Linked DNA regions of Mus musculus: regions 1, 3 and 4 are each reported to be linked to region 2. Evidence: microRNA targets listed by miRTarBase, many of them from high-throughput screens and not tested one by one. Region 2 holds a microRNA gene; each other region holds the end of a gene's coding sequence.
The links. The annotated mature microRNA mmu-miR-5125 reads UCUGCCUGGGAUUUCCUUGU and lies in region 2 at 2,960-2,979, opposite strand. An mRNA with a match to its seed (bases 2 to 7 or 8) in the 3' UTR can be bound and repressed. Matches are read on the target gene's strand: a 7mer-m8 pairs with bases 2 to 8, a 7mer-A1 pairs with bases 2 to 7 and ends in A, and an 8mer does both.

Region 1 (7,405 bases), not on the chromosome of region 2:
GATGATGGTTTTAAACCACACAGCCAGGCACGTTACGGTTTAATTTGGTTCTGTTCTGCTAAGACAGAGTCTCACTGTATAGCCTTGGCTGGCCTTAGACTTTCAGATACCTCCTGCCTGCCTCCTGGGTTTTGGGATTAAAGGCATGCACTACCTTACCTGGCCCTTACATTATGATTTCAGATGGCATAGTTTAAGATATTTTAAGCCGTATGCTATAATAAACCTCTTTTGTTATAAATCTAGATAGAAGAGGAGTTGTGGGAAGAAGAATTTATTGAACGCTGTTTCCAAGAAATGCTGGAAGAGGAAGAAGAACATGAATGGTTTATTCCAGCTCGAGATCTCCCACAAACTATGGACCAAATCCAAGACCAGTTTAATGACCTTGTTATCAGTGATGGCTCTTCTCTGGAAGATCTTGTGGTAAAAAGCCATTTCTCATCTTTTTCTTTTTTTAGACCCTACCTCATCTCCCTTAAGTGAAAAATCAACCTGCTTTCTCTTTAAGATGTTTTAGAGCTGGGCGTGGTGGCGCACGCCTTTAATCCCAGCACTTGGGAGGCAGAGGCAGGTGGATTTCTGAGTTCAAGGCCAGCCTGGTCTACAAAGTGAGTGCCAGGACAGCCAGGGCTACACAGAGAAACCCTGTCTCAAAAAAAAGAAAAATCTAAGATCTCCTGATTGAGTTTCTTTGAGATACATTTATAAGCTCTTGGCAGAAAAAGAATATAAACCTAGGTTCATATTCTTATTTCTCAGTCTTGTCACTGGTAATGTGCTTGTAATAAAATTTTACATCATTGCTAATGTAGAACTTGAGGAGCCCTTTTTTTTATTTTAAGATTTATTTATTTTATGTATATGAGTACATTGTAGATGTCTTCAGACACACCAGAAGAGGGCATCAGATTCAGTTACAGATGGTTGTGAGCCACCATGTGGTTACTGAGATTTGAACTCAGGACCTCTGGAAGAGCAGTTGGTGCTTTTAACCATTGAGCCATCTCTCCAGCCCCAGGGAATCTTTTTACTAAAATTAAGATAAAAGATTTTTTTTGCTTGATGTAGTTGGTGGGTAGTTGAAACAGAGTTTCACTCTAGTTCAAACCTGCAACTCAATGCCTTGATTAGCCTCAATCATGAGCAATCCTCTTCCCCACACTGCTGAGACCTAGAATTCGTAGCTTCTGTTTATTATGGATTAGTTTACTAAGCTGTTCATCATAATCACCTAAACTTGAATACTCAGTTTAAGCATCCCAAAGTATACTTTACAGTTCTCCTCCACATCAAGCTTTTGAAAAACATTCTGCTGCTAAAAAACAATACAGAAAACACCAGAATCCACATTGTGGCAGACCCTTTGCAGTAAATGACTGTGACTGAACTGAATAGGTGTCTGATCTGGTCTCTTGGGACATATTTGCCTACTGCTACTTTAGTCATTTCACATACTACTAGTGCTTTGAATAAAGGCTTAATGTATAGACTAGATTTGCATAAATCCATAACACAGAAACTGAATTGCTTGACTCAAACTTTTCGAGATTACTTTAATTCATTTTTAGACTTCTCTAGTTTCCAGAAGATTACATATTCAAGAATTCTGCCCTTTTTTTGTTTTTGATTGTTTTTATTTTTATTTTTTTATTTTTTTTAAAGATTTATTTATTTATTATATGTAAGTACACCCACCGTAGCTGTCCTCAGACACACCAGACGAGGGCATCAGATCTCATTTCGGGTGGTTGTGAGTCACCATGTGGTTGCTGGGATTTGAACTCTGGACCTTCGGAAGAGCAGTCGGGTGCTCTTACCCACTGAGCCATCTCACCAGCCCTGTTTTTATTTTTTTAACAATTAAACCATGCTTGCTTTTCTTACTTTTTGGTTTTTTTGAGACAGGATTTCTCTGTGTAGCCCTGGCTGTCCTGGAACTCACTCTGTAGACCAGGATGGCCTCAAACTCAGAAATCCACCTGCCTCTGCCTCTGCCTCCACAGAGTGCCAGGAGCCACCACTGCCCGGCACTTTTTCTTTCTTTTAAGGGTTTTTATTTCTGTATATTTAATGTTGAAGGTCAAGCCCAGGCCTAGAACATTCTAAATAGACATTTTAATCACTGAGCTAGTCTGAAAGTATAGATTTATTTCCCCTATGTGAAGGGAGAACACTTATCTAAACTTTTTTAAATTATTGGTCCAGTATGTCATTTAATATTATGTTTTGGTCTTAAAATACATGGCATTGGAATTCAGGGGTGTGTTTGTTTGTTTGGTTTGGTTTTGGTTTTTTGTTTTTTAATCTTCCTGTCTTCATCTACCCCTGGAATATCTCCAGGTTTCTTTTTTATCAACACTCAGCATAGAGGATCTTCAGTTCTTCTTCTTTATATTGACTTCATGTTTAGGGAAGTGGAAATGAGACAGAGGAATGCAGTCCAGGTCTCTTAGAGTACTTGGAGACTTGGGCTGACATGGAAACAGAGTCACAGAGAGGGTGATCTGTTCAAGCTTCCATGGGAATTTTGAATAGGTAGAGCTGAGATCTCCAACTCAGGTCTTCTGTCTCCTATGTAGTTTTCTTTTCCTGTTACACACAGTGCCTCCTATGGGAATTAGAAAACAGCAGTTGTAGAGAGATAACCCCCAAGTTTTCAGTGAAAATCTTAAATAAAATTCCCTAATAGCCAACAATGCCCCAGTTAATCAGACTGAGAACATGTATTTAACATGTTTGGAAGTATTTTCAGAGCATCAGGCACACTTGGAAAAAGAAAATACCTTATTTCATGCTATTTCTTATAGCTTAAGTGAGGTTAGTGCGTTTCTTGTTATACTTAATAGGATGTAGAGGCTAGGAGGTGCAGACCTTCAGTCCCAGCACTTAGGAGGCACATTGGCTGGTGGGTCTCCGTGAGTTTGTGGCCAGCCAGATGACATTCTTTCTCTGCCATGAGTTTGGGGGTAGGAAGAACCTTAGATAGAGTTCAACCTTTTGTATTTTTCTGGGAGATAATTTTTACATAAAGGTCTAGGTTGAATACTTCTGAGAAATCACAGTCATCTGTAATGAACTTGCTTTTTCTTTTCTTTTTCTTTTAATATATGATTTTTCAGGTCAAGAGCAATCTGAATCCCAATGCAAAGGAGTTTGTTCCTGGGGTGAAGTACTGACATGTCTGAGCAGCCGGCCGCTTTTGGTGGATGTAGCACAGTTTCCACACTGGGAAGGCAGTGTTAGAAGACTCCATTGTAAAAGCTCTCGTCACTGTGTTACACTTACGCATTGCCAAAGTTTTTGTTAGTCTTGCATGCTTAATAAAAGTGCTGAGACTGTTACTAAGTAAGGAGCTGTCACACAATTACTGAAAGTAGAATTGGCCACGTGGCTTAATGTAAAGACAGCAATGGGAGAAGCACCAGTCAACTGTGACAAAGAACCAAATTAAATCACCTCCAAATCTCATTGAATTGTCTGTCTTTGAGGCTAAACTGGTCCCTTAAGGGTTAGTTGACACGTTTTAATGTCTACACTTTGTATAAATTTAAATTAGGTTCTGATTGTTAAACAGATTTCTCAGTTGCATTTGTCCATCAAAAATAACCTCTTCTGGAGAAAATCTGTTAAATTTTGAAGTAAGTAATTTCACAAGAATGTCTTTGAGGTTACAAGGTGATGGTCAGATAGGAGCTAGTCTGGCTTTTGCCTGGTGTATTATCATGTTAGGAATACTGAGTTCTCCCAGTGTTAATCTTGAGGAAATACAGTTTGAGGCTTGCATCTTCTGAAGATTGATTGCATCATCGCCATCATGTGTGAAGTCTAACACAGGACCCACACCAGCCCATAATCCAACTGAAGCACTCAAAAGACGGTAGCATGACTCTGGTGCTCTTCCTTGCTTTGTTAACCATCATGACTATAGTCTGCAGCACAACTTTTCTTTTAACAAAGCTAGAACAGTTTTGGCTTCTTAAACTTCATATTTGAGTAGGTTAAGCTGCCATACGTGTTCAGTGTGAATAGTGTTTAAGTTGAAAATATTGTAAAAAAATTATATTTTTTCAAAAATATTTAAAAAAAAATAAATGATAGTAGAACCGAGCTGGTGCTTGTGTTATTGGTGCAGACAACAGACTCCAGCGTTGGTGCTCGCCTAGTGTGGGCACTGGGCAGCCCTGTGTGTGAGGTGTGCTGACAGGAAGGTGTACTCCAGTCCACAGTAGCCAAGCAGGTGTCTGTCAAGTGTTTGACTTGCCCTTGCCCAAGACTGCACTGTCAGCAATCTTAGCCAGCCATGGTAGAAAGCTGTGGTTGGTCTGGGGATATCTGTTAATGGCGGAGCACTTGCTTAGTATGTGCAGCAGCATAAATGTTTCTTGATGTGCTAGAGCTGCAGGCCATGTAGCCATTTATTGTATTTGAGAACAGTGTATTGCTAAATAGCCAAGGCCAGCTTTGAACTTAGGATCCTCCTACCTCAAGTTCCTGGGTGCTGGGACTGCCTTGCTCTTTTGTATGGTTATTTCTGGCTCATTCTTTCTGAAAAGCTTTTAAGGTGTTCATTTGGTTTGGCTTGGTTTTTGTCCGTGGTGCTAGAGGTTGAACTTCAGCTATTTTCTGCATGCTAACCAACCACTGTTCTGGTCAACTTCATCCAGGAAGGGTCTTTTGTTTGTTTTGTTTCGTTTTTCCAAGTCCAGGTTTTTCTATGTACTTCTCACGGTCCTGGAACTTGTTCTATAGTCCAGGCTGGCCTTGATTATATGCCTCTGCTGGGATTATGCCACCATGTGCTGCCAAAAGTCTTTTTACTTTTTAAAAACAGTTACCTTAAACTAATGAAGAAGCAAGTGTTTTCATTTTCTTTTTTTATTATTAGATAAGTGACTATTGTCTGCAGGTATGTCTGTGTATCCCTTTCAAGCCTGGTAGCCAGAGAGGCCAGAACAGGATATCGGAGCCCCTAGGATTGGAGTTTCAGACAACTGTGAGCTGCCACATAGGTGCCGGGAATTGAACCAAGGTCCTCTGGAAGGTCCTGTTCCTGGTTTTTGGTTTGGTTTGGTTTTTGAAACAAGGTCTCCATAGCACTGGCTGTCCTGGAGCTTACTGTGTAGGGCGGGCTGGCTTCACATCACAGAAATCTGCCTGCCTCTGCCTCCCAAGTCCTGGGATTAAATGTGTGCCACTACACCTGGCCACAGGCAAGTTTTTTAAGAAACTCTAGAAAAGACAGGCATGCTTGGCACTTGGGGGTTGGGAGATAACACTTTCAGTCCTTTTGTTCTCTAACTGCTCAGTATCAAGTGTGCAAGGGGTACTACTCAAGCTAGCTTCGATCTCATGCCTGACTCCTTAGAGCAGGCATTAACAGGGTTAAGCCACCACTCACAACTTTCACTAGAATGTTTCTTGTTTGAGAGGGAAAATATTTGAATTAACTAGAGCCAAGTGTCTCCATTATAGGCAAAACTAGGATTTAGAGCTGCCCACATGTTTTGAAGCTTAAAGATAAATGATTACCCCCTTATAGGCTTGTATTAGCAGGTTTCTGGTAACTGAACTGTAAGTGATTGAAATTTTATGACTACTAACATTGAAACAAAATAACATGTAGAAGGATCTCTCCTGTTTATGGCACTGCTGGTGTTTCCAACCTTTCCAGTCTCAAAGATATTACTTAGGTATGGTAATGGTAATACACACCTATAATTCCTTCGTTTGAAGGGCTGGAGAGATGGCTCAGTAGATAAGAGCACTTGTTGCTCTGGCAAAGGGCTCGGGTTTGGTTTTCTAATACCCACATGGTGGTTCACAGCCATCCAGAGGATCCTGTGCTTTCCTGTGACCTCTGTGGGCACCAGACAAGCACATGATGTGCACTAATGTACATAGAATACATACTTTTTAGTTCCTTCACTTTGAGAGAGTCTATGAATAGAAGGATCATGAATTGGCGAAGGGTGAGCTGATTGTGCTAATGCCAGTACTTGAGAAGCATGCATGCATGCATACACAGAGAGATCAGGCTGGCAGTGACTGCTCTTAGACTCTAGTTGGTCTAGATGTTGCCTGTATCTGGTAGGATTGATAATCCCGCTTACTTGTGACCATCTATGGCTCTCACTGTAACATGGCTAAGAAATTCTACCCAGATCCAAAGGACTTTTTACCCTGCCTAATCTCCCCTTGAAGAAACTTGTAACCGATTACAAAAATGCTAGTTTGATTTTTTTTTTTTCTTTTTGTTTAAACAGATGTTTGATTATTCAACCTCCCACAAGAACCATATCATGTCCTACCTTTCATTGAGGTGGCTTCAGACCTTGGTACACACAGACCCAGTTTCTATATTGTCTGGAGTGTCTTCTAGAACTGGAGGCTGATTTTGTGTCTTTTTAGAAAATCCTCTGAAGACTGGGCAGATGGGGATGTATCTGAAAAAGGTGGTCCTTTTTACCATGCCCATCCCAAAGGGGAAATCGTAGCTCTTGAGACTGGCTGACGTCTCACTGTTGGCGTGGGCTCCAGCCTTCCACTGTATCAGGCCTCTTTCCTCTGGGCTCCCTGCAAGAGGACAGTGAGGTCATCTAGGAGGATAAAACCCTGTTATCTTTCCTGCACATAGCCAGTCCTAAGGCATGTTTCTAGAATCAAGTATGAATTTGCCTAGTCAGAATGGAGCCCAGGGCAGTTTTGCCTGCTAGATAAGCACTCTACCACTCTGCATGCCTTACTTGCCAGAGCTCTGAGAAACCTTAAAAGATTAATACTACTTAACTGTAGCATCAAGTCCTGTGCTAAATAATTTCATTATTTCTGAACACCCCTGGGAGGTGCATAGGCACAAAATTTTAAGGTGAAGAAACAAGCTAAGTCATTTTACACTGTCTGTCTGAATATGGGGCTAGTGTGTGGTTGCTTCATGGGACCTAGATAGTGCCCAGGCTGTACCTCTGAATAGGGTACGTTTTTAAATTTTTTTTATCACATTTATTGTTTATGTAGAATTTATGGAACCATGAGAGTGAGGAGGTCTTAGGATAAGCACAGGAAGTAGGTTCTCTTGCTCCATCATATGGGCCCTGGGCATTGAACTCCGACCAGGTTCAGCAAGTACCTTTTCCTGCCGAGTTATCCGACCTGCCTGAGGACATAGACCTTGAAATACTTTATCAGTGTTAGGATTCATTATTACAGTTCTAAATTTGGGGCATAAACCATTTTTATAGCATGGATGAAAGCCAGGCTAAGCAAGAGATCTTTGGTGGGGTAGGGATGTACCTCTGGAGAGGAGTCCCAGAGATTGTGGGTTTTCAGAAGTGCTGGAGCTGACAAAGACAGAAATCATTCACCTAGCGGGAGGGCAGCCAGAGCTAAGAGTAGCCCAGATTGC
Region 2 (7,324 bases):
GGAATAAAATGTAGAAAAATGGCTCAGCAATTAAGAATACTGGCTCTTGCAGGGGACCTGGGTTCAGTTCCCAGTACCCACATGGTAGTTTACAACTGTTCATTTCGGTTCCAGAAAATCAGTGCCTTTGGCCTTCATTGGCACACATACATACATACATGAAAGCCCATATACATACTCTAGAAAGAGGCTAAGATGGGAAAAGAAATAGAAGTGTAAATTATCCTTTTTAGTTTTTGTAAAGTAAACCTCAGCTCACCAAGCTATATATCCTTATGCATAGCCGATTGTCCCTGCCCCACCCAGCCTGGAATTTCCATCTCCATAGCCCCCCCCCCCCCAAGGGCTTGCTGCAAATATCCTTTTATCACGATAAATATCCTGGGAGGTATCTGCTCCAAGGTAACTAGTAGCCTGTGAGTCAGCAATGAGGCACTTATAGGGCTGGTGAAGATACACGGGCCAGATAGATCCCCTTTTGCGTGGGTTCCTGTGGCTAAAATACAGCTTGTCTGCGTAAGCTAAGTTAGGTTGTTATGTCAAAGCTAAGGGCACACAACTCCTGATATGGCATTAGATATGGGCAAGACTGGACCAGAGGCTTTATTACCCCTCAGGCCAATGGAATGTGTTAATGGCAGGATTTGCAGAAGCACTTCTGGAAGCAGCTGACAGCATTAGGTTTCTGGACCTAATTAGGTTGCTTTCACTGCTGCTGCCACTCAAATGTCCATACTGAAGGCTGAAGGCTATTAGGAAGGTTTGGCAAATGGCGTTTTAACTAGACCAGTAACAGGAATGAGAATTCATTCTCCCCCAACCCCCAGAAGTTTGTGTAACCTTAGCTGCCCAGCCAAGTGCTAAGATTAAAGGCGTGGACCACCACCACTTGGCTGATGGTCAGTTTCTAAACCTTTGCTCTTAATAGAAAGCACATCTACATCCTTGACTTCTTTCTTGATCAAACCCCAGCTCTTTGCCGTCTTCCTTACTAATTTTACCAACCAGTAGCATTGAGGGCCAGGTAAGGAATTTCTAGGTGGACACAAACAGGAGAAAAGATAGAAAGTGGAGTTCATGTTTTGTACTGACTGTGGACACTGGAAACCAGGATTAAAGAATTCTGAGGTTGATACTTGCCAGACAAGCACAAAGCTGGGGGTTGGGGGTCTTTATCAATGACATGTAATGGGGTCAGAGGCAAAGTTAGGCCTCTGAGGACAGAAGTCATCATACCATTGCCAAGTCAGGCAACCAAGGTGGGGAGGGTTATGGCCTTGATGGTTGATACAAGTCAATGAATGGAAACGCTGAGAATCTTCTATACCCCTTCCCCAGATGACACCTTCGAAGCTCTCCGCATCGAGCCCTTTTCCAGCCCTCCAGAGCTTCCAGATGTGATGAAGCCACAGGATTCTGGAGGCAGTGCCAATGAACAAGCTGTGCAGTGAGGGCCTAGGCCTACCCCCTAGAGACCCATTTCCCCAATAAAAAAAATTTGGCTGTCTACCTGATTGACTTTTCTGTTCCCTCTTGTTCACAGAACTCTTAACCCCAAGTAAAGACTACAGACCAATTACTGCATTTCTCATTTTTATTTGACAGAAAAAGTTGCTTTTACTGTACAGATTTTAAAAAACCAAAATGCCTTAAACAAAGTTGGGGGGGAGAGGGCCTCACAACCTTGTAAGGGGGTGCAGCAGGGCCAACCAACTTCAGCTCCTTCCTCTTTCAGGAAAGATTACAACTTACCAAGTTAAACCATCAGTCACCCAAGAATTTAGGGAGCTAACTCCCTGGATCATCACAATCTGAGGCCTAGATGTCCTGAGCTGTGCCCCTCCCTCCCTAGACTCCCTCCCTCCCACTCCAACCCCCAAAACACAAGAACCAGGAAAAACTCACAGAGATCAACATTTCACAGGAACCAAAAAAAAAAAAAAAAAAAAAAAGGGTGGGTGGGAGAGGACGCTCTCCCCTCAAGATGCTGCCAAGGTTCAAGGGAAGGCATACAAAGACTCCTTCCATGATTCTTCTGGGAAAAATGAGGAATACTCATGTCTCCAGAGTATGAGGTGTAGTGGAATCCAGATTATGGAGACCTGGAATAGAGAAGACTGGTCATTCTGGGTCACCACACATATCCCTATCCCTAACTACTAGCTCTCAGAAGGGCCAGACTTCCAAGGAGACACACCTGGAGGAGCGGTGACGATTAGAACGGGGACTAGGTGTCTCCTTCCTCTTGTGACCAGGAGAGTGACTGTCCCCTCGCTGGCCTCTCCAGGAAACTCGCTCACTGCTACAAGAGGAGAAATTAGGTCACAGAACAATACCAAAAACTTTTAAATTTTGCTTACAAATTAATGGTAGCTAGTTGAGTCAGGTTGCTAGCACCTGCTATAGGCCCTACCTCTGTAGATCCCTTGGTGAAGGTTGGGGCGAGGGCTGTCGACGCTCAACGGGTGAGTAACTGAGGGATCGGGAATCCCGAAGGGAGTCTATTGGCTTCCGAGGACTTCGAGACCTAGGAAGCAGAGTAGGCCTCTATAGCTCCACATCCTCCCAAACCCACCAGCCAAGCATTCAGGACCACCCACCCAGGTCCTGACCACCAAACCTCACACCACACAGGGCCAGCCTCAGACCCACCTTTGTCCGCACTCACCCATCCGCCCGCACACCATCCACCGAGTACCCCAGTGGACAGGGCACAGGGTGCAGCGGGGGATGCAAAGATAAAAGAGTCCCTGCCCTTGGAAGAATTTTGTTTGGTAGTAAAGGTTAACAATGAAGGCACACACGCCCCCTACATAGGAAACAGCCCAGCAGGATGGATATGCATGGGCCTGGGGATCCAGAGAAAGGATGGGGACCTGGGCAGGACAGGGAAATGGCAGGGCAGTCTTCTCGGAGGTGCTGTTTGAATGCAGTCTTGCAGAACGAGTTCACCAGGCAGACAAGGAAATCCCAGGCAGAAGGAACAGCATGTCCAAAGGCATGGGGCTCTCCTTAGACTGCAAGGCGCTGGGTATGGCCGGAGCACGGGGCATGTGTGGGGGCGGGCAGGAGGAGCACAGGGCGGGCAAGGGCAGCTGGTGAAGAGCCTCACACGCCATTCCCGCAGAGGTGGCACTTTATCCTGCAGGCCACAGGGCGTTCCGGAAGGATTTGTGGAGTGAAGGGAAGTAACCAGATGTGCGTTTTAGAAAGATCCCTCTGGCTACGTGTGGAAGAGAATGGCGTGGAGGCAGGGAGACAGGGAGGAGGCTGTGGACAGAGTCGGGAGAAGATGACGGTGGCCAGACCAGAGCCCTGCAGCAGCAATGGGGAGACTTAGAGCTAGATCTCTGAGACCAGGCTGCTTGTCAGGGGAGGGGAGAGGGAGGAAGAATCCTATGACTTCCCAGATATGGCCTGGGACACCTCAGTTAGATAGTGCAGCCCTTGACCAGAATACAACACTGTGGGAGGATGGGAGGAGTCCGGCACTCCTTCTCCCGTACAACCAGTCACAGACGTCCACACGAGGCACCCCAGCAGGAACCTCACCCAGGGTCCCCTTTCTGGAGAACTCACCCCAACCCCCCTTCCACAACAGGCAAGAAAGCACTCACCTCCTCTCGCCAGGGGGTGGCTTCTTGGGGCTTGCAGGTTTGGGTAATGCCTGAGGGCCAGGCTTAGCAGGGGAGGGGGAGGAGGAAGAGGAGGAAGAAGAGGAGGAAGAAGAGGAAGAAGAGGAGGAGGAAGATGAGGAGGAGGAGGAAGAGGAAGAAGAGGAAGAGGAGGAGGAGGAGGAGCTGGAACTGGAGCTGCTAGAGCGCCTCTTCCTTTTGGCCGGGGTTGGTTCCTGAGGACGTCCCTCTCTAATAGCCTCCTTTGGGACTGGGGTGGGGCTGGGAACCCTGTGAGAGAAGAAAGGTGTCACAAGGAGACAAGATGCCCCAACCCCAACCCTACCTTCCTTGGCCTGGAGGAACGGCAGTGGGGGAGGGGTGCCTGAGAAAAGCCCTGGGAAAACACGAAGGCAGGCCAGTGAGTAGTACTTCTCTGGAGCAGTGGCACAGAGCTGACCAAACCTCTGCTAACACAAGCAACAGGCTGGGGCCCGAAGCACAAGGGATCAAGGTTAAACCTCAAGAATGTCCCTGATGAAGGATTAAGGCCCCTGGACTCAGATGTGGAAGCTGAAGCTGGGTGATCTCCTTCCTTGGAGAGCCGCAGCTTGGGGAGGCCCCTGTGAGTGCAGGTTGGCTGGGGAGGGGCCGTCCTGCCTGGAGGCAGGGAGAGGGATGGGATGACCTCTGAAGATCCTTCCAGCCCAGGGAGTTCCTCTTGAGGTCTAACTGCCATCCCTCCTGCTGTAAAATTAAGTCCATTTCCTCTAGTTCTGTCCTCTGTAGAGATGGAAAACTTATCATTATCCTCTGGAGAATTAACCTTTGGAGACTTTTATCTGTCCCATTCCTCCCCACAAAGCCCCCGCCCAACATTCTTTCTACTCCCAGCTTGAAGGCCAAGGTCCCCCATACTTTCTCAAAGCCAAGTGCTTTTGACAAGATTTCTCCCTCCCTACTCACCCACCCATTGTTAAGTCCCTGCTCCCTAGATCCCTTAATTGCCTCACCTTTTCAGTGCCACCTCAGGTTGAGCTGGAAGGCTGGAACCCTCTGAATCACTAGAACTGGAGCCAGAGGAAGAGGAGGATGACGATGAAGATGATGAAGAGGAGGAGGAGCTAGATGATGATGAAGAGGAGGAAGAGCTCCGACGTTCCTTAGCTGGTTGCAGAGCAGCCAATGTAGAAGGCTGCTGGGCCCCAGTAGAGGCAGGTGGCTCCCCACCTTCAGCATGGGATATCCCAGGGGCAGGGCCAGAAAGCATGCCATTGTGGTCACTAGCAGAGGATGTGGACTTCGCTACTGTCCCGGATGAAAGGGACTGAGACCCTGCTACAGGAGTGGTCTGGACAACTGAACGAGATTGGTCTGAAAAAGCAGATGGCACAGGGGACCGAGGCCGATCCTGTGCAGGAGGGAGAAGAGATTGCGAAGAAGCCTGAACCATTCTTGAAGCAGGGGAAGGAGCCCGCTCACGCTCAGAGGTCATTCTAGACTGGCTTGGGGCAGATGGTGGTGTTCTGGACCTGGCTCGATCAAGCATTAAAGGTGAGGTTCTGCCACTAACACGATCATAAGCAGAAAGGGGCACCCTGGGACTGGTGAGGTTTGCACCAGACAATGCTGGAGCCATCCTGGAACTGGAGAGATTTGTGGGAGCCAAGCCTGCAGGGGTTCTAGAGCCAGCAATATTCACAGGAGCTGTGCCATGCGCAGATCGAGGACCCACCACCAGGTTTGCGGGGGTTGGAGCCTGGGGTGTTCTGGAACTGGAGGGGTAATTTGCAGCAGTTGGAGGTGTCCCAGAGCCTGTGAGACTCAAAGCTGCTAATGCAGCTGGTGTTCTAGCTCCTGCTAGGTTCACAGCTGAAGCTGCAGGGGTTCGAGGATCTGCAAGGTTCACAGCTGAAGGAGCCACTGCTGTTCTAGGGCTGGCTAAGTTCATAGCTGCAGCAGCAGCTGGTGTTCTTGAGTCAGCAAGGTTCACAGATGCCGGAATAGCAGATGTCCTGGCACTAGCAAGGTTCATAGCTGCTGCAGATGCTGCTGGAATCCTGCTGGCAAGGTTAGCAGCTGGGGCTGTTCTAAGGCTCATGAGAGGTACAGGTGCTGGAACCTGGGACATTCTTGCAGCAAGGCCAGCAGCAGACATGGATGGAGGTGGCCGGGCAGTACCAAGACTGATGGCTGTCAAGGCAAGTGCAATTCTAGACTGAGCATGGTTTTCTGGAACAGATGATCTTGGGTGATCAGGAATCCGAGGACCTGGACCATCCATCATGGAGCCACCTGTTTGCTGTAGCACAGACATGGGCGTTCTAGCGCTTCCAAGGGGTTCAAGCATTCCAGGTGATCTACATCGGTCAAGAGGAGTTGGTGACATGCTAGGACGGCTAAAGCAACTCATTCTAGAGCTACTGAGTGCTACAGGAGGTGTCCGAGATCCAGAATGATTCCTTGTTGCTGGAGGAGTGGCAGAACGTGAACGATCAGAACTACTTCCAGATGCAGACCGCCTACGAATGGCTGGAGGAGATCTTGTTAAGGACCGCTTGCCTCGAGCTGCCCTAGGAGTACGAGACCTAGAACGGCGGCGGATAGCAAGTGGTGAGCGGCTTCGAGAGCGCTTGCGTGGCAACAGTGGTGTCCGAGACCTAGATCGTCTTCGAATTGCTGGCGGAGTTCGAGACCTGGAGCGTCGTCTTGTCACTGGAGAGGTTCGGGAACGGGACCGCCTCCGGGTGACTGGAGATGTTCGAGATCTCGATCTTCTCCGGGTGACTGGGGATGTCCTGGATCTTGATCTTCTTCTAGTAACAGGTGAAGTTCTGCTTCTAGATCGCCTCCTGGTTACTGGTGGAGTCCTGGATCTGGACCTTCTGCGAGTCACTGGAGGAGTCCTAGAACGAGAACGACGGCGAGTTGGTGTTCTGGATCTTGAACGACGACGAGTTACTGGTGGTGTTCTGGACCTGGATCGCCTTCGACTCACTGGGGATGCTCTTGATCGAGATCTACGCCTATTCACTGACCTTGACCGTCTCCTACTCACAGGTGAGGTCCGAGATCTGGACCTACGTCGGCTTATCAGTGGTGTTCTGGACCTGGACCGCCGATGAGTAGCTGGTGAGGCTCGAGATCTAGAGCGCTTCCAAGGAGCTGGTGATGTTCTTGATCGAGATCGCTTCCGACTGGTCAAGGGTGTCCGGGAGCGGCCTCTTCTGCGTCTAGAGGAGGTTCGAGAACTCTCCTGTCTGGTAGGTGATCTTGAATGGTAACCAGAGCCACCCCTCCGTCTCCGAGTAACTCGTGATCTAGACCGGCTCCTCTGTCTTCTTCGAGATGTTGACTGAGATGATCCAGATCTATCTCTGCGTCGGGTTGTTCTGGTTTTCTCTCTCCGTGAGCGGGATCGGGATCTTTGGAGTCCACGAGGTTTGGGTGAAGGAGACCGTCCTCTCCTCGAAGTTGTCTTGGTACGGGGAGAAGAAACTGAGCGCCTCCTCCGTGAAGACCTTGACTTTTCAGTTGGCTCTGGTGAAGATACTGAAGGACTTCTTCTGCGTCTTGGTGGAGTTCTGGAGCGGATTTCTGGTGATGAGGAGGCAGACCGGCTTCTACGAGAGACTCTAGCCTTCCTGGTTAGCTCAGGAGATGATCGAGAGCTCCGGCGTCGAGGTGGTGTGTGAGACTTTGTCTTTGGC
Region 3 (7,405 bases), not on the chromosome of region 2:
TGGGATAAGTGTACATCTTGTATTTAAGATCTGGGGTCTCATAAAGCTCTGGATGACCTCCAACTTGCTATGCAGCAAAAGCAGGCCTTGAATTCTAATCTTCTTACCTCCATTTTCAACTGTCTGTCTGTTTCTTTTTTGTGCTGATGATCAAACCAAGGCCTCACACATGCTAGACACGTGCTCTCTGCCAGCCTTTCCTCTGCTCAGCTTCCTATCGTGAAACAGACAATTACCTGAGAGTTAGTAAATGCCACACATTACACCCTACAGCTTTAAAGCTGCTGTGCAGCAGTAAATGCATAGTAAGTGTTTGTAGGTAAATACACAATAGGTAAATGCACAGGGCTACCACCAATCCTGACAACTCCAGTTCAACCCCTGAGACACAACAGTGACCAGAGTTGTCTACTGACCTCCATGTGTGTACTGTGAAATGCAATTTAAATTCTTTTCTTCCTTCCCTCCCATTTTCCTTCCTAAAGCTGCAGTGTTTAACCATTTGGGGAAAAAACCCTGCCATTCTAACACGGAGGCTGGTGCAGGAGGACAGCAAGTCAAAGGCAGGAGGCACACAGGCTTGAGAGCAGACCACACACAGCAAGACTCTGTCTGAGACATAAAGGCGCACTATGTTAATAGTGCAAGGGTTATAACAAGCCACATACCAACTTTCAAATGCTTTATTTTTTAGTGTTTAAAACATTTTAATACAACAAAGTTATAAAATAATATATATTAGTTAAATCTGAATTTAATTTAGAATCAGGTATTTACTTATTACAACACTGTGCTTCAAGGTCTGGCTACCACAGGGATTTTCATGTCTTCAAGTAACACTAGTTTCTCTGTGGGCAGGGAGACCTTTAGGTAGAATTCTCAAAACTGAACATGCCTGGCTTAGTCCAAGCAACCTGCTTCCCCACTGAGTACCAATTTCATTTCCTTTGTTCCACATCACAAATACTTCATTATCCCAACAATCCATGAATTCAATGAAAAATTATTAAAATTAAACATTTTAAAGATGTTAATAACAATAGGCTCGGTTTGGTTCTTCAGACAATCCACTAGTTCAGATTAAAAGAGATGTGAAGTAACAATGGAAAAAAGAAAACAAACAATAGAATATTCCTTCTCCCATCAAAGCACAAAGCTTCCTTATGCCAAGATGGGAAATTCACAGAATAAAGAGTCCTTTGATTAACACAGTGTAGAATGTATCCTCAAAAACAACTTAGTGTAGCTGGAGAAATAGCTTAGAGTTCACAGACCTTTGTACTGAACTTGATACAGTAATTCATCATATTAGTTATGTAAAATCAGTGCCACTGAATCTACAGGCAAACCAACACCTACTTTTACAGTAATTTTAGTCATTTAAAGCTATTCATAAGGAGAACAAACAAACAAAACCCTTTCTCTTTCCATCCAGTAGCCTGAAGCATCTCTGATGGTACTTTAATCCTCAGCTGCAGAGGTAATAGGGGTGACTGGGACTAATCTCACTTTTTAATAAACACAAACTGTTATGTAAAGTTGCCATTAAACCTGATATGCTTGTGAGTTTCAGGACAGTCAGGGCTATACAGAGAAACCCTGTCTCAAAAAAACAAACAAAAACAAAACAAAAAAAAACCCTGACATGCTTGCTAGGCAGTAAGTGGTGATGCTTGCCTTTAATCCCAGCAACTTGGGAGGCAGAGGCAGAGGCAAAGACAGAGGCAGAAAAATGTCTGAGTTCCAGGACAGCGAAGGCCACAAGGAGACTCCTGCACTTGCCATGGCTGACGAGAAACCCAAGGAAGGAGTCAAGACTGAGAACAATGATCATATTAATTTGAAGGTGGCGGGACAGGATGGTTCTGTGGTGCAGTGTAAGGTTAAGAGGCATATACCACTTAGTAAACTAATGAAAGCCTATTGTGAACGGCAGGGTTTGTCAATGAGGCAGATCAGATTCCGGTTCGATGGGCAACCAATCAGTGGAGAATAAAGATCGATGTATGTGTTCCAGCAGCAGACTGGAGGTGTCTACTTAAAAAGGGAGCCTGCTACTTTACTCCAGAATTTGTTATAGACCAAGAATACATTCTCAATTAAAAAGCCACAGTTTGGTCCCGCCACATCCTGACTACACAGTATAGTTTTCTCTTCTTTCATTTCCCTGTCCCCATTTCTTTATTGTACAAAAAGTAACTGGTGTATGTGCACACGCATAGTGCTCTCTCTTTCTTTTCCTTTTTTTAAACGAAATGGCCAATGTTCTGTTCTGGTTGGCATCAGATGGAGATGGTCTGGGGGAAAGTACTGGGTCTGTGAAAATACCCCTTCTCCATTGGTGGCATGCTCATTCAGCTCTCATCTTTATATTTCAGTAAGTTATTTTGCTCTCATTGTTTTAACAAAAGAACACAACACCACCAAATCCTTGCATGCCTTGTTCAATTGGAGAATTTTAATGATTTTCATTTATCATTGCAAAACCAAGGACAATTTTTTTTTTTTTTTGGTTTTTTGAGACAGGGTTTCTCTGTGTAGCCTTGGCTGTCCTGGAACTCACTCTGTAGACCAGGCTGGCCTTGAACTCAGAAATCCGCCTGCCTCTGCCTACCAAGTGCTGGGATTAAAGGCGTGCTCCACCATGCCCAGCTTCAAGGACAATTTTTATATTTTTTTTGAAGCTGTTACATGTCTTTAGGGAATAAATTACTCTTGAACAAAATGATCTTAGATAGTTTTCCCTTCAAGTCAAGCATCTTATTTACATAAGCTTGTTTAAAATGAAAACAAAAACAAAACCCACAACCAACAATAACAAAAAACCCAAACCAAACCAAACCAAAAAAAAAAAAAAAAAAAAGAAAACAAAAAAACAACAACAAAAACCCCTGACATGCTTTCTGCTTTCACGCTGTCTGAAGGAAAGCAAGTGGACTATTCTAAAGACCGTTCTTGTCTCCTAAGTCTGTCAGCTGAGAGGGCGACTATACTGTCTGCTTTTGCTATGGGATTTCTATCCACAAGACCATCAAATAATTGAGTGTACTAAATCAGAGAGTTTAAGTCAAGAATATTGTAAACATTGTTAAGCATTTTGGATCTAGAATCTTTCAATGATAAAATTTCTTTTTGCTGAATATAAAGAAGATACATTTTTGCCACAAATCTGAATTTATACGAATTAAGTTTTACAAAAAGATGTGTGTGGTGGTGTACACCTTTAATCCCAGCATGGGAGGCAAAGACAGGTGATCCCTGAATTAGAGAAACCCTGTCTCTGAAAAAACAAAACAAAATAAAACAAAAACAAAAACAAAGAACCCCCCCCCCCCAACAAACAACCAAACACTTTTGCACAAATGTTCCTGAAAGACTACTTGCTCTCTGCTATAGAAGGATCCAGCACCCCTGTTCCCCACTTATAACTTACAGAGTTTTGGAATTCTCAGTCCTAACAGGCAGGTAGAATGGGGCTGGTCACCACTTACAGTGTCAATGTTACGCTATTGGAAGTGTGGGTTTTCTTGGTTACAGCTCACGTTATTTAAATTGACTGGTTCTAAGATGAAGCCCATTGCTTTAGAAAGGTTATTTTTGCCACAGCAACTCTGGCCTCGTTGGGAAGTGTAACACAAAGGTTTCTGCCAAAACTATGTGGTGGTGAGAGCAAGCTTATGTTCCATAGGAGCTCGTTCCTTTCCACCCAGCATGTCTACCTTTCAGTAGATCCTGTTTGCACTGTAAAAGCCGAGAGCACTTGCCTCGCACACACAGCCCTGGGCTTAACACCACAGGGAGGGCAGCGACACTGGGATTAGAATGTAGGCAATTCTTCCTTTGCACCCCCAAGAACTCAAAACCTTTCCTTGCTTCTGTACTAAGCTGTCAAGGAGAAAAGTCTCACACGACTGCAGAATCAAATACGGGGTTCAAAAGCGTGGAGACTGCACGCAGCCACATCATGCCCAAAATGTAAACATAAATTCTATCTTCATTATGGTTAGGTTTTAGTAAGGAAAAAGATGTGAGGACAAAACCTGAAAACTAATGTTGTCTCAGTTTTGAGACTTGAAGAGGATTAGCTCTGTAAACACTGTCTTATAGTAGCTACTAGGCTATACATCTAGCTTATCTTTTTCCTCCAAACAAACAGGAGTGACCCAAGGCCACTCAATCCGTACAGCAGGCTGCTGTCAGGCACTCTCACCATCAATAGCTTGGCAAGGGCAACGCCAGCTGCACCTGTTTCCTATTGTGTTCTATGATAGAACCCATATGGAGGAGAGAAGCCTGATGTTAAGATATTTACCATTAATATAGTTAGCATCTTAAAACTAATGTAGACACGCATTTTTGGAACATTTTCCCAAAAGCCAACACTGTCTCTCCCCCTCCCCCCAGGTAAATTGGATCCTGCTCTGTGGGGGGCAGGGGAGTAATAAGAGGGGGTGGCAGTAATATATCCCTTGGCCCTAAGTCAAGCTACTCAAACAAGCATAGCAAACCTTTTCTCCAGGATTAGGACGTTTCTTTAGATAAGATATTGGCGTTTTTGATCCTGGCTTGTAATAGAATCAATAATTTAAAATACTGCAAGGATTTTGAAGTACAAGATTTAAAAACATAATTGAACTTGATTTTGATTGCTTTACCTCATCTCTCAGGTGAGAAATGAGCGCTGTCTCCAGCCTCCTCAGAGCAGGGGTTCTCAGCACGGGGGAGGCCCGTTTGTCTATTAGACAAACCCCCTTCCTGCCTAATCCACTCAGTGGCTTCCAAGAGGTGGGACTATGACTCCAACTGCAAAAATGACCATTCAGCCGCCGAGACAGAGGAATAAACGCCGGCTGTGGCCTGCGTGAGACTGCAGTGCGCCTGCCTGCAGCTCTTGAGTCCTTGTTTGAAAATGGAACGTAAAGACTATACAATTAGTATTCCAATTCTACAACCAGGTTAAAACTGTTATGTACAACCAATAGAAAATAAAGTGACAAATGGTATCGGAGAGGTGACAGTAATTACTGAAGGTAAACAGCAGCTAAAGTATTTAGTTCTTAACTGCCAAATTAAGACTCTAGAAAGAACATATGTATATAATTTTTTTAAAATAAAAAGTAAGAAGCCTTTTTCTATCCACCCATGTCTCAGACTGTGTACTTTCCATGGTCGGGAATGAGAACTTTCAGGGAAAAACAACAACAAAAAGAGGACCCCACCCCCACCCCCACCCCGAGAATTAGCACTGCGCCTACAGCTTGTTCTGTTCTGTTTTGTTTTTTTCCAGAAGAAAAGAATTCTCTGCATGCACATTTACTCACTCACTGATGTAAGAACTCTAACATCTGGTAAAACACTCATGTGTTCACTTAAGTCACATTATTAAAAAGCAGTATATTGGGCTGTCATCTGCCTAACTAACAGTTACAACAAGTATTTAGTCCGGGGACTTACAGCACTACAGGAACACAGCCACCTCCCCTCAGGAGCCCTTTCTGTTGTTCACACTGAAGCTTCCGAACAGAAAGGGACAGCAACTGACGCTGCACCTGCTCTGAAATGCTGACCCCTGCATTAGTGGGAGGCCGGCGACACCTGATCAGCGAGCGTGTCACCTCACACGGTGCCCCCCGCATTCTTTTGTTTCTGCTGTGTTCAATGTGTTTTTCTTTCAAATGGCTCAAAAGGTAAAACATATTTACCAGTAAGACACTCACTTTGCAGACAGACACAGATTAGTTCAATGAACACATGAGAACGGCTCACTAGGTAAGGAAAGCCAGCTTCAGAAATATTCTTGACTTGAGTCCTACTGGGAATCAGTAACAATTCTTCAACCAGCCCAAGCTGATGTGCTTGAGTTCCGTAAGCAAACACTCAGCATGCACAGGTATCGGCCTGACATCACCCCACGCTGGGTCTTCCTACAGTGAGGGGCGGAAACTCTTTCCATGACCTCTCCATTCAAACAGCTAATAAGGAGTCTTGTGTGTTCTTTCTTGAGTTTTACAGTCACGGCCTTTCTCAGAACGGGAAACCTGTCAACACAGAAGCCAAATGCAACGTATCCAGGAGCCTGGGACAAAGTATTCATTTTCATTCCATAACTACTGTATATTTAACAACAAACTCATTACAGAGAGAGAGTCTTCATCCAATTAGTCTTTTCATTATTGCTGGTTTAGAAAATGGCCAACAATATTCATTAGGTACTGTGCCATTAACATTGCATTCAAAGAAAGAAAACATAGGGAACCAAATCCTCGCTCTCCTACTCTGATGATACGCTCTGGTGTTAGCCAGAGTATGGTAGTACAAAAAGAGTCTTGTTGTGATATAAAAGGCAATAAACACATCAATGGAATAATGTTCATGGGCAGCCAAGATGAAGAAGATTCCAAAGAGGTTGAGAACCCAGGATAGAGTGTGCAAGAAATTCCAGCTTCTTGGTGTATCTAGGAAAAGGACAGAAGGACCATTTATTTAATAACACATTCCTGCCAAGCTTCTTAGCCACGTTTCTCAGGGTAGGCTCTAAGCTTCTGCTCCCCTAACCTCTGCCCCACACCCTTTATTTCAGCTCTGTCTCATGTGGCCCAGGCTGCTGACCTGGATGTGTAGCTGAGGATGAACTTGAACTAGGATCTACAGGCATCTGCCGTCACACCTAGCTTTATGTGGTGCTGGGGATCAAACCTGGGGCTTCACATGTGGCAGGCAAGCACTCCAGACTGAGTTGCATTCCACCCCAGCCGCCTATTCTTTCTCACTTCCTCCCTAGTTCCTTCTCTGCAACAAGCTATCTAATATGCATAGGAGCATTAAAGATATACTTACACTCTGTGACAAAGAAATTCAGCATGGTTAGAACAACTGTGTGGCCACTGAACATGTAGTCTCCACAAGTGTGGACGCCAGTCAGAGTCATTCCAAAGCCGCTCCAGATGGCAAATGCCCGTCGTAGTTTCTCCCACACACTTCCATATATCTACAAAGAACGCTGTGAGTTAGTTCTTCAAATGCTTACTGAGGCTCAGAGCTTGCCCAAATCCATTTCAGGCAATTCATGATTCAGAAATAAGAGCATCCAGGTAAAGGCAACTGGTCTAACTCAGCTAATTCAAGGTGGGCCCAGAGAATTACCAGAGCTTGACTGTACTTAGAAAATGCTAATTAAATGAAATCATCCTAATTCAAACTCCTTTACAGTAGTTCCTTTAAAGTAAAAAGGTCAAGGCAGGCGTACAGCGTATGTTCATATACCAACACCTCAGAGGCAGAGGCCAGTATATCTATCTTTGTGAGCTTGAGGTCAGCCTGGTCTACATATCGACAACCAGGGCAACCAGGGTTGCACAGAGAGACCGCATCTCAAGATAATAACAAAAGCAAAAAGTGCAAAGTC
Region 4 (7,405 bases), not on the chromosome of region 2:
GACACTGTCCAGGGAAACACCACCAAAGGCTTTCAGAACAATCACTGGTGTAGAAAAGGGATTATGGGAGCATGTAGGAGAAAGAACTTGCTATGCAAACTTGGTGGCTCATGTTTGATCCCTACATCCCACAGTGGAGAGAGAGCTGCCTCTGAAAAGTATCCATCTGTGAGTTCTAGCCTAGTCCCGTCCATGTAGAGTTCCAGGACAACCAGGACTACATAGAGAGGCTCTACTTCAAAATTTAACAAAATAGCAAATATTTTGAAAGATTATTAGAGGCAAGAGATTATTATATTGTTTCTGGAGAATAGGAGATAACCAAGTAAGAGATATCTAGAAAGGAAAACACAAGAAGTTAATTCACTAAACACTGAGGAATGGTTAGTGAATAGGGAGAGACCTAAGGAGTCACTGCTGTCACTGTCACACCTTCTGACTCTGACCTTCTTTCTGTTTCACAGCAAAGCCGATCCGTCCTGGACAGCATCCAGCGGCCTCGCCAACTCACCCGGGCACAGTTCGTGGAGGAGGCTCATTTGTTCAGAACAACCAGCCAGTGGGGCTTCGTGGTGGTGGAGGCAAGCAGTCGTAAACACTTGACACATTGCAGGTGTGAGTCTGTGCCTGACTTTTGAGTTTTAACTGTGTGTGGAAATACTGAGCTACTTAGCTTAGGATTCGAGTTTCACAGTAGGATCAGGATTTTTTTTTTTTTTTAATATGTGTTGTTTTATAAATGCAACTTGGCATGATTTCTTTTTTTTTTTTTTTTTTTTAAAGATTTATTTATTTATTTATTTATTGTAAGTACACTGTAGCTGTCCTCAGACACTCCAGAAGAGGGAGTCAGATCTCGTTACGGATGGTTGTGAGCCACCATGTGGTTGCTGGGATTTGAACTCCTGACCTTTGGAAGAGCAGTCGGGTGCTCTTACCCACTGAGCCATCTCACCAGCCCTTGGCATGATTTCTTATGGTCTATTTCATGCTACAGATAATCTATGTTTAGTTTTGTTACTAATTTTAAAACTTGGATTGGATCATTTATAATAATTTTTTGTATCCTACACAATGGGTATGCCCTGGTTTATAATATTACCTTTACTAGAAACATAATAAAGTACATTAATTTTGTTCTAATTTTGCTTCTATAAATGACATTTGAAATATGAAGTATCTTATATACTCCCTCATCCTTTAGATTATTATGAGAAGATTCCCAAAACTGGGATTTTACAGTTTGAATGTTTTTAAGGATCTTACAGTTACTTTCTAGAAAGACAGCCTAAAATTGCATCTTAATAAAAATTAGCATTTGGTTGTATCCTTGCCACCATTGATTATTAGTTTTTGCTTCTAATTTGATAGGCCCAAAATAGTCTACCCTGGGTGGCCTGGAGGAAGCCGGTTTACATGCATACACACTCCCTTTACATTTCCCTTTTAAACACTTACCCGTTTTCAATCACCTATTGGGAGCTGATTTTTCTCTTTTTTAATTTTATGTGAGAGTATTTTGCCTGCATGTATATCTGTATACCACATGCATATAGTGCCCCTGTGGCCCAGAAGAGAGTGTTGGATCCCTGAGACTGGAGTTATAGACAGAAGTGAACTGCCATTTTGGTGCTAGAAATTGAACCCCTGTCCTCTGGAAGAGGACCCAGTGCTCTTAAATTCTGAGTTATCCAGCTCCTACAAGTTGATTTTCCTAATAGGTTTCTGAACTCCCCCTCTTTGGTGTGTGCACAGGTGTGCCTGTGTGGGTGCGGGATGTGTGGAAATTAGAGGGCACTTTAAGAATGTGTTCTCTTTCCACACTATGGGGCCCTGGGGTGAAATGCAGGCTTGTCATCTGTTTCTGGCAGGAAGATAACGAATGTCATTTGAGGGCTTTCTTTATATACTACTATAACTTCACATTTAAAAGTTGTGGAACTAACATACTATACCTATTCCCCATGTGGTACTTGATAGCTTTCTTTTTAATGTAGTAATACACTGAACACTTTGTTCTATATCACATTCACCAGTAAATGGCTGTCTATAGTTTATGACATATTCCAGAAGTCTGATTAACTATAGAAATCCCACAGAAATGCTGAAAATTTAAAATACTAAATAATTATGAGATGGTTAGCTCTTACTGTTTCTGAGAAATCCTAAGGTTGGTTTATTTTAATTTTGCTTGGCTTTGATACTTTGTACATAGGACTGTTTTGAGTAGAAATTAAACCAGCAATCTGGAGAGGTTAAAAATGTAATATTTTGTTTGTTCTGTCTAGTGAAAGGTTTAAGGGAGAGAGAAAAAGTGCCTGGGATTGAACGTTCTGAGTATCATTCCAGCTCTGCTGCGTTCATGAACTTGAACAAAGCAGCTTGCTAAAGTCTGTTCTCTCTGGGCTGGGGAGATGCTTCCATCTGCCAAGTGAGTGAGTTCCAGCTGCCACAGAAGCCTGAGGACCTGAGTCTGGCTTGGCGCACATGGAGAAGTCAGACGGGGAAGAAGACATCTATCTATAAACCCAGATCTAGGGAGGGGGAGTCTCTGGAACTCAGAGGGTTCTGGGGTCAGTAAAATACTCTGTGTTAAAAAATATAATGGTGAAGCAGATGACTGCTCTCCAGCCTCTATACGTACGTGTACACACTGCACACACGTGGAAACTTAACTCATTCTCCTCTGAATCCTCTTAGAATTCACTATAAAAATAAATTATACATTCATGAAAAATAGGTTATTTGTGCAGCTTTAATAATAATAATCACATCTAACATTAATAAGTGTAATATCTCATATCCGAATTTGGATCTTCCTCTTGTGCCTCTGTGTGCCATGGCTTTGTACCTGCTAGTCAAGGCTCAAGCCACTGAGCTGTACCTCTTAGCTCTTCTCTATTTCTTATTAATATCCTGTGTATCTTAAGTTTTCTAAACCAAGGCATGATCTAGGACTTTTTTAAGTTTCTTTTAATCTAGAACATATCTAGGGACAGTGACCTACCAAAGACATCCAGTATCACAAATGTATGCTACCTCCTTCTGGGTGTATTTAATTATGTGTGTAGCTGCCATATTCCTTTACCCGATGTAGACTGATTTAGTGTGTTTGGGGGGGGGGGGTTGTTTTGTGTTTTTTTTGTGGGATTTTCTTTTTTCTTTTTTGAGTCAGGTTCTCATTGTATACTTTGGCTTGCCTGGAGCCTGCTATGTAAGCCTGAACTCAACAGAGATCCACCTGCCTTTGCTTCCTGGGTGCCGGAATTAAAGTTGTGGGTCACTATGGCCATAATGTAAGCATTTTTGCTTGAGTGACACAGGAGATAGATTAGTTGATGTTCCTACACTGAGAAATGCACCCCTCACAGACAGACAGACACATACACAGAGAGTCCATATCCTGTCTCTGCCCATGTTGAACTGTTAGCCTCCTTTATTGGTAAGTTGGAAACAGTTCTTGAGAATTACGTGAGTTAGGACATCATCACTTAGCACCGAGCTTGCACTAAAAAGAAGCTGCTCCTCTGCCTTCCTAGAGGAGAGAGTTTTAGAGCTCAGAAGTTGGTTTCTCCAGATGTTTTTATGTTAAAATTCATGTGTAAATCTTGAACTCATACTTTATTTGAATAGAGAAGAACGTGGCCTCTTAAATACATCTAGTATCATCTACATAGTGATGATGTTTAGCACATGGGAAGGAGTGAAAAGTGTACTTATGAAGTGTAATTGTTATACTGCTGAATCAAAGGATACTCAATTTTTATTTAATTTTTAAACTTATTTTTATTACTTTTTAAAATGATTTATGTGTCATGCCCACAGAAGCCAGAGACATCATTCCCCCTGGAACTGAATTGCAGGCAGCAGTGCACCTCCTAGTGTGGGCACTGAACTGAGGTCCTCTGCCAGAGCAGCATGCACTCTGACACACATGCTCAGCATCCCCTGAGCCTTTTCATTTCTTAGATCACTGTATCTTAAACTGTGATGGGTGGCTGATAAACTTGAAAAGTTAAACTCCCTGAAGATACTTTTTAAAATTACTTTTTAAATGTTGAGGAAAACATGGATTTAGGGCAGTGGTGATAGTTATTAATAATGTTTAATGACTTTTGTTTCCAGTTTTACATAGCCTCTCTTCTGTCACATGGCTTTATTACTAAGTCCAACCTAAAGATGTGTGTGTGTATTAGGTTATGTCTGTAGGCCCACAAGTGCCACGGCTTATTTGTGGAAGTTATAGGTCAACACTGGGTGTCAATCCTTGCTTTTCACCTTGTTTGAGACGGGATCTCTTCTGCACTTCCCGTTCTAACTATCCTGCAGCTTCCAGATACTGTCTTGTTTTCAGTCCCCATCCTGCAGATAGAAGGGTCACAAGCACGCGCTCCTATCCATCCTTGCTTCTGTGGGTTCTGGGAGTCCATCTCCCAGCACTTCCCTGATTTTATCTAAGACACACTATTTGCCACTAATCGCTGCTAAGTAGTGGTCCTTAACTTAAGAACGCCATGTTTTCTGTTTAAAGATTGACAAGCCTGCTTTCCCCCATCACTCCTTCATTCTTCCCATGGTAAGCCTCCTGCTCCCAAATGCTGCTAGGGCTACAAGTTTGGGCCATCATGTGCAGCCCTGTTTTGTTATTAAACAAAATAATTCATATATCAACCCACATATGGCTTTATTAACTAGGGATGAAAAAAATGATGGGCTGACCTTGTAAACATTGTTCTGCTCATAAATAGTTCAAGTTAGAAGACAGAAAAGTAAAAGAAAGCAACCAGGAGCTGGAGAGATGTACATTGGAAAGCACTTGCTCTTTTGCGGAGGACCGGAGTTTGCTTCCTATTATCCACATAGTGACTTAGAGTGACCCATAACTCCAGTTTCTAGTTCCAGGGAATTCCTCTTCTGTACTCCATGGGCACCAGGCAATCATGTGGTATGATGTCATACCACATGTGGTATGATGAACATAAAATCTAATTAAAACATTTTTTAAAGAAATTAAATCATTCCTATCTTGTTCTTTATTTCAAACATGAGTTTTATAAGAACTAAAATTTTCTCTGCTTTTTTCCTATTTCAGGTGTTGAAAAGTAATTGAAGTTTGAAGAGGACATAAAATCAGTCTTTCACTAACTAACCTCTATTCCTTGGGATTGTAGAAATTTAATTTTTTAATGTGTAAATTACTCCTACCCTGTACAGCTGTTTCCTACCCACTCTTGTAAACTCTGCTGCTTCCCAACACTAGAGTGCAATGTTGATGTCCTAGAAGGGAAACGACAGTTTACAACTGCGGCCCTGTTTGTTACACGGTGTGTCCTTCGTGTCTTCACTGTGCTGAGTAACTGTGTTGAGGGACTCTGCTCCTTGATTTGCCTTTCTGTGAGTGTGTAATCTTGGTTTACATTACATAGCTGCTATTGCTTTTCATTTTCCCTTTTCTACTAAAATGTCTTTTTTTTTTAAAGGAAATATGGAACATTTAGATTAAATGTCTTAAATTTTACTACTTATAACACTACTTGCCACAAAATATATCAGGTCAGTCAGTACTGTATTTTAAAAATCCCTCAAGCAAGGTATGGTGGCACGCATCTCTACTCCCAGGCAGAGGCAGATGGATGGCTGTCAGCTTGAGTTCAGCCTGCTTTCCAGGACAGCCAGGGCTATATAGGGAGACCCTGTCTCAAAAATAAATCAAAAAATAAAAAATTAACTTAAAAATAAATTTAAAAATCCCTTGATATGTTGCTGGTATAGTCTCTGAAGCTTGCCTCTGAAAACGTTGAGCTTTGAGACCAGGAGTTCGAGACTGAACAGGCTCTTTCTATTATATCATTAGCTCATGAGATGCCTTTTGAATACAAATATCTTACATATCAAAAATGGATCTCATGTTAAATGGATTTGGAAGTACTATACCCCTTCTTTCTACTTCTGCACTTAAACATAGCTTAATGTGCTCTGCTTTGTTCTGTTATATCTTCCTGCTAAAGTAAGAATTGAGCAGAGCTAATGTCATCTTTAATATTAGGAAATAAGTGGACTAAGACATTATAGAATTAAATAATTTTCAAATGTTAAATAATTGTATTGACTGATAAATTTATAGCCTCTGAAAAATGAGAAAAAAATTGTGAACAGGACAGATGAAGTATAAATTTAAAACTACATGGTTAATTTTGCTCTGAAATCCTATAGGTGGTTTTCACCTGTTATACTAAATCATACACTATAATTTGTTTAGTTAGAAATAGTAAACTGTTTGCAAGTCACTAGTAATTCTCAAAAAAATATTGTTGGCCATAGTGAATAATTTTTAAATTAGAACTAAGTGTGTACCTATTTTTGGCACTTATTTTTCAAATAATTAAGCTCAATCAAGTATATTTTAAGGATCTATAAAAGTGACAGGAAGACCGGGTGTGGTGGCGCACACCTTTAATCCCAGCACTTGGGAGGCAGAGGCAGGCGGATTTCTGAGTTCGAGGCCAGCCTGGTCTACAAAGTGAGTTCCAAGACAGCCAGGGCTACACAGAGAAACCTTGTCTCGAAAAACCAAAAAAAAAAAAAAAAAGTGACAGGAAGGGTCTCAGCACCTGCATCCTCAGTGCTTGGGGCAGCTGTAGCCGGAAGCAAAGACCCACAGGAAATGCAGTGTCTGGGGATCTTTGATAAGTAGACAAGCTTTTGAAGTTCTGGGTTAGAATCTGGCTGGCAGAATCTTTGGAAAAGTTTTATATACAGATATTTGTATTATTAAATTTGGAGCCATAGTCAGAAGACTCAGATCATAATTGGCTTATTTTTCTATTTCCTTAACTATTGTAATTTCCACTTTTATAATAATTTTGATTTGAAAAATAAATTTATTTATTTTTTTAACAGTCAAAATCTTTGCTGTTGTAGTCTGCAGCCTTTAATGATTGTGTTGCTTTTATGATTGAAAGAAGCACTCCACAAATTGAAGAGAGCGTGATGCAGCGAGGTGTAAGTCGTGGTTAGTGACGTGTATGGCTCCTGTGCTCATCGCTGTCTCTGCGAGGCATCTGGCTGCATCTAAAGGACATTCGTTCCAAATGAAAATTTGCTTTTCTGGCAGTTTTCATAATGGAAAAAAAATTCTCCTTTGTCTGAGTATAGAAGTTTTAAGATGTATCATGGGTATCGGTGCTTGTATAACACACAATGAATTGTAACTAGCATGTTGTTAAGAAAACACATTGTTAGTTTTTTTTAATCTTAAATGTTTCTTTTCTATTTATAATTTCAACCTTTCATAAAGTATACTAAGAATTTCACAAATTTCTTTTCAGTGAACTGAACTCTTTTTTGCAATGATAGGCCATTAAATATAGCATTCACACAAAATGGACATTTTTAATCACCTAGA

Region 1: miRTarBase lists Slc23a1 as a target of mmu-miR-5125. Seed matches in the 3' UTR shown: 7mer-A1 at 1,994-2,000 and 7mer-A1 at 1,988-1,994.
Region 3: the mRNA of Samd8 is a reported target of mmu-miR-5125. Seed matches in the 3' UTR shown: 7mer-A1 at 5,409-5,415, 7mer-m8 at 4,879-4,885 and 7mer-A1 at 2,606-2,612.
Region 4: miRTarBase lists Kif5b as a target of mmu-miR-5125. Seed matches in the 3' UTR shown: 8mer at 5,617-5,624, 7mer-A1 at 5,624-5,630 and 7mer-A1 at 6,472-6,478.

What each region holds. Positions count from the first base shown.
Region 1 is chr18:35,613,077-35,620,481 of GRCm38, forward strand. It overlaps Slc23a1 (solute carrier family 23 (nucleobase transporters), member 1), which reads right to left. Exons shown (of 15, transcript NM_011397.4): 14 at 6,312-6,576; 15 at 1,528-2,611. The coding sequence ends at 6,329. It overlaps Paip2 (polyadenylate-binding protein-interacting protein 2), which reads left to right. Exons shown (of 4, transcript NM_026420.3): 3 at 247-426; 4 at 3,123-4,110. The coding sequence ends at 3,179. Among named protein-coding and RNA genes, the nearest start is that of Slc23a1, 10 kb to the right of the region's middle.
Region 2 is chr17:23,818,994-23,826,317 of GRCm38, reverse strand. Mir5125 (microRNA 5125) reads right to left here and starts at 3,027; the gene lies at 2,949-3,027. It overlaps Srrm2 (serine/arginine repetitive matrix 2), which reads right to left. Exons shown (of 15, transcript NM_001368687.1): 11 at 4,628-7,324; 12 at 3,618-3,905; 13 at 2,414-2,527; 14 at 2,198-2,302; 15 at 1,577-2,102. The coding sequence ends at 2,093. It overlaps Elob (elongin B), which reads left to right. Exons shown (of 4, transcript NM_026305.2): 4 at 1,339-1,578. The coding sequence ends at 1,451.
Region 3 is chr14:21,791,987-21,799,391 of GRCm38, reverse strand. Samd8 (sterile alpha motif domain containing 8) reads right to left here. Exons shown (of 6, transcript NM_026283.3): 5 at 6,838-6,988; 6 at 666-6,455. The coding sequence ends at 6,151. Among named protein-coding and RNA genes, the nearest start is that of Gm23502, 17 kb to the left of the region's middle.
Region 4 is chr18:6,201,395-6,208,799 of GRCm38, reverse strand. It overlaps Kif5b (kinesin family member 5B), which reads left to right. Exons shown (of 26, transcript NM_008448.3): 25 at 465-613; 26 at 5,093-7,405. The coding sequence ends at 595. Among named protein-coding and RNA genes, the nearest start is that of Gm41664, 30 kb to the left of the region's middle.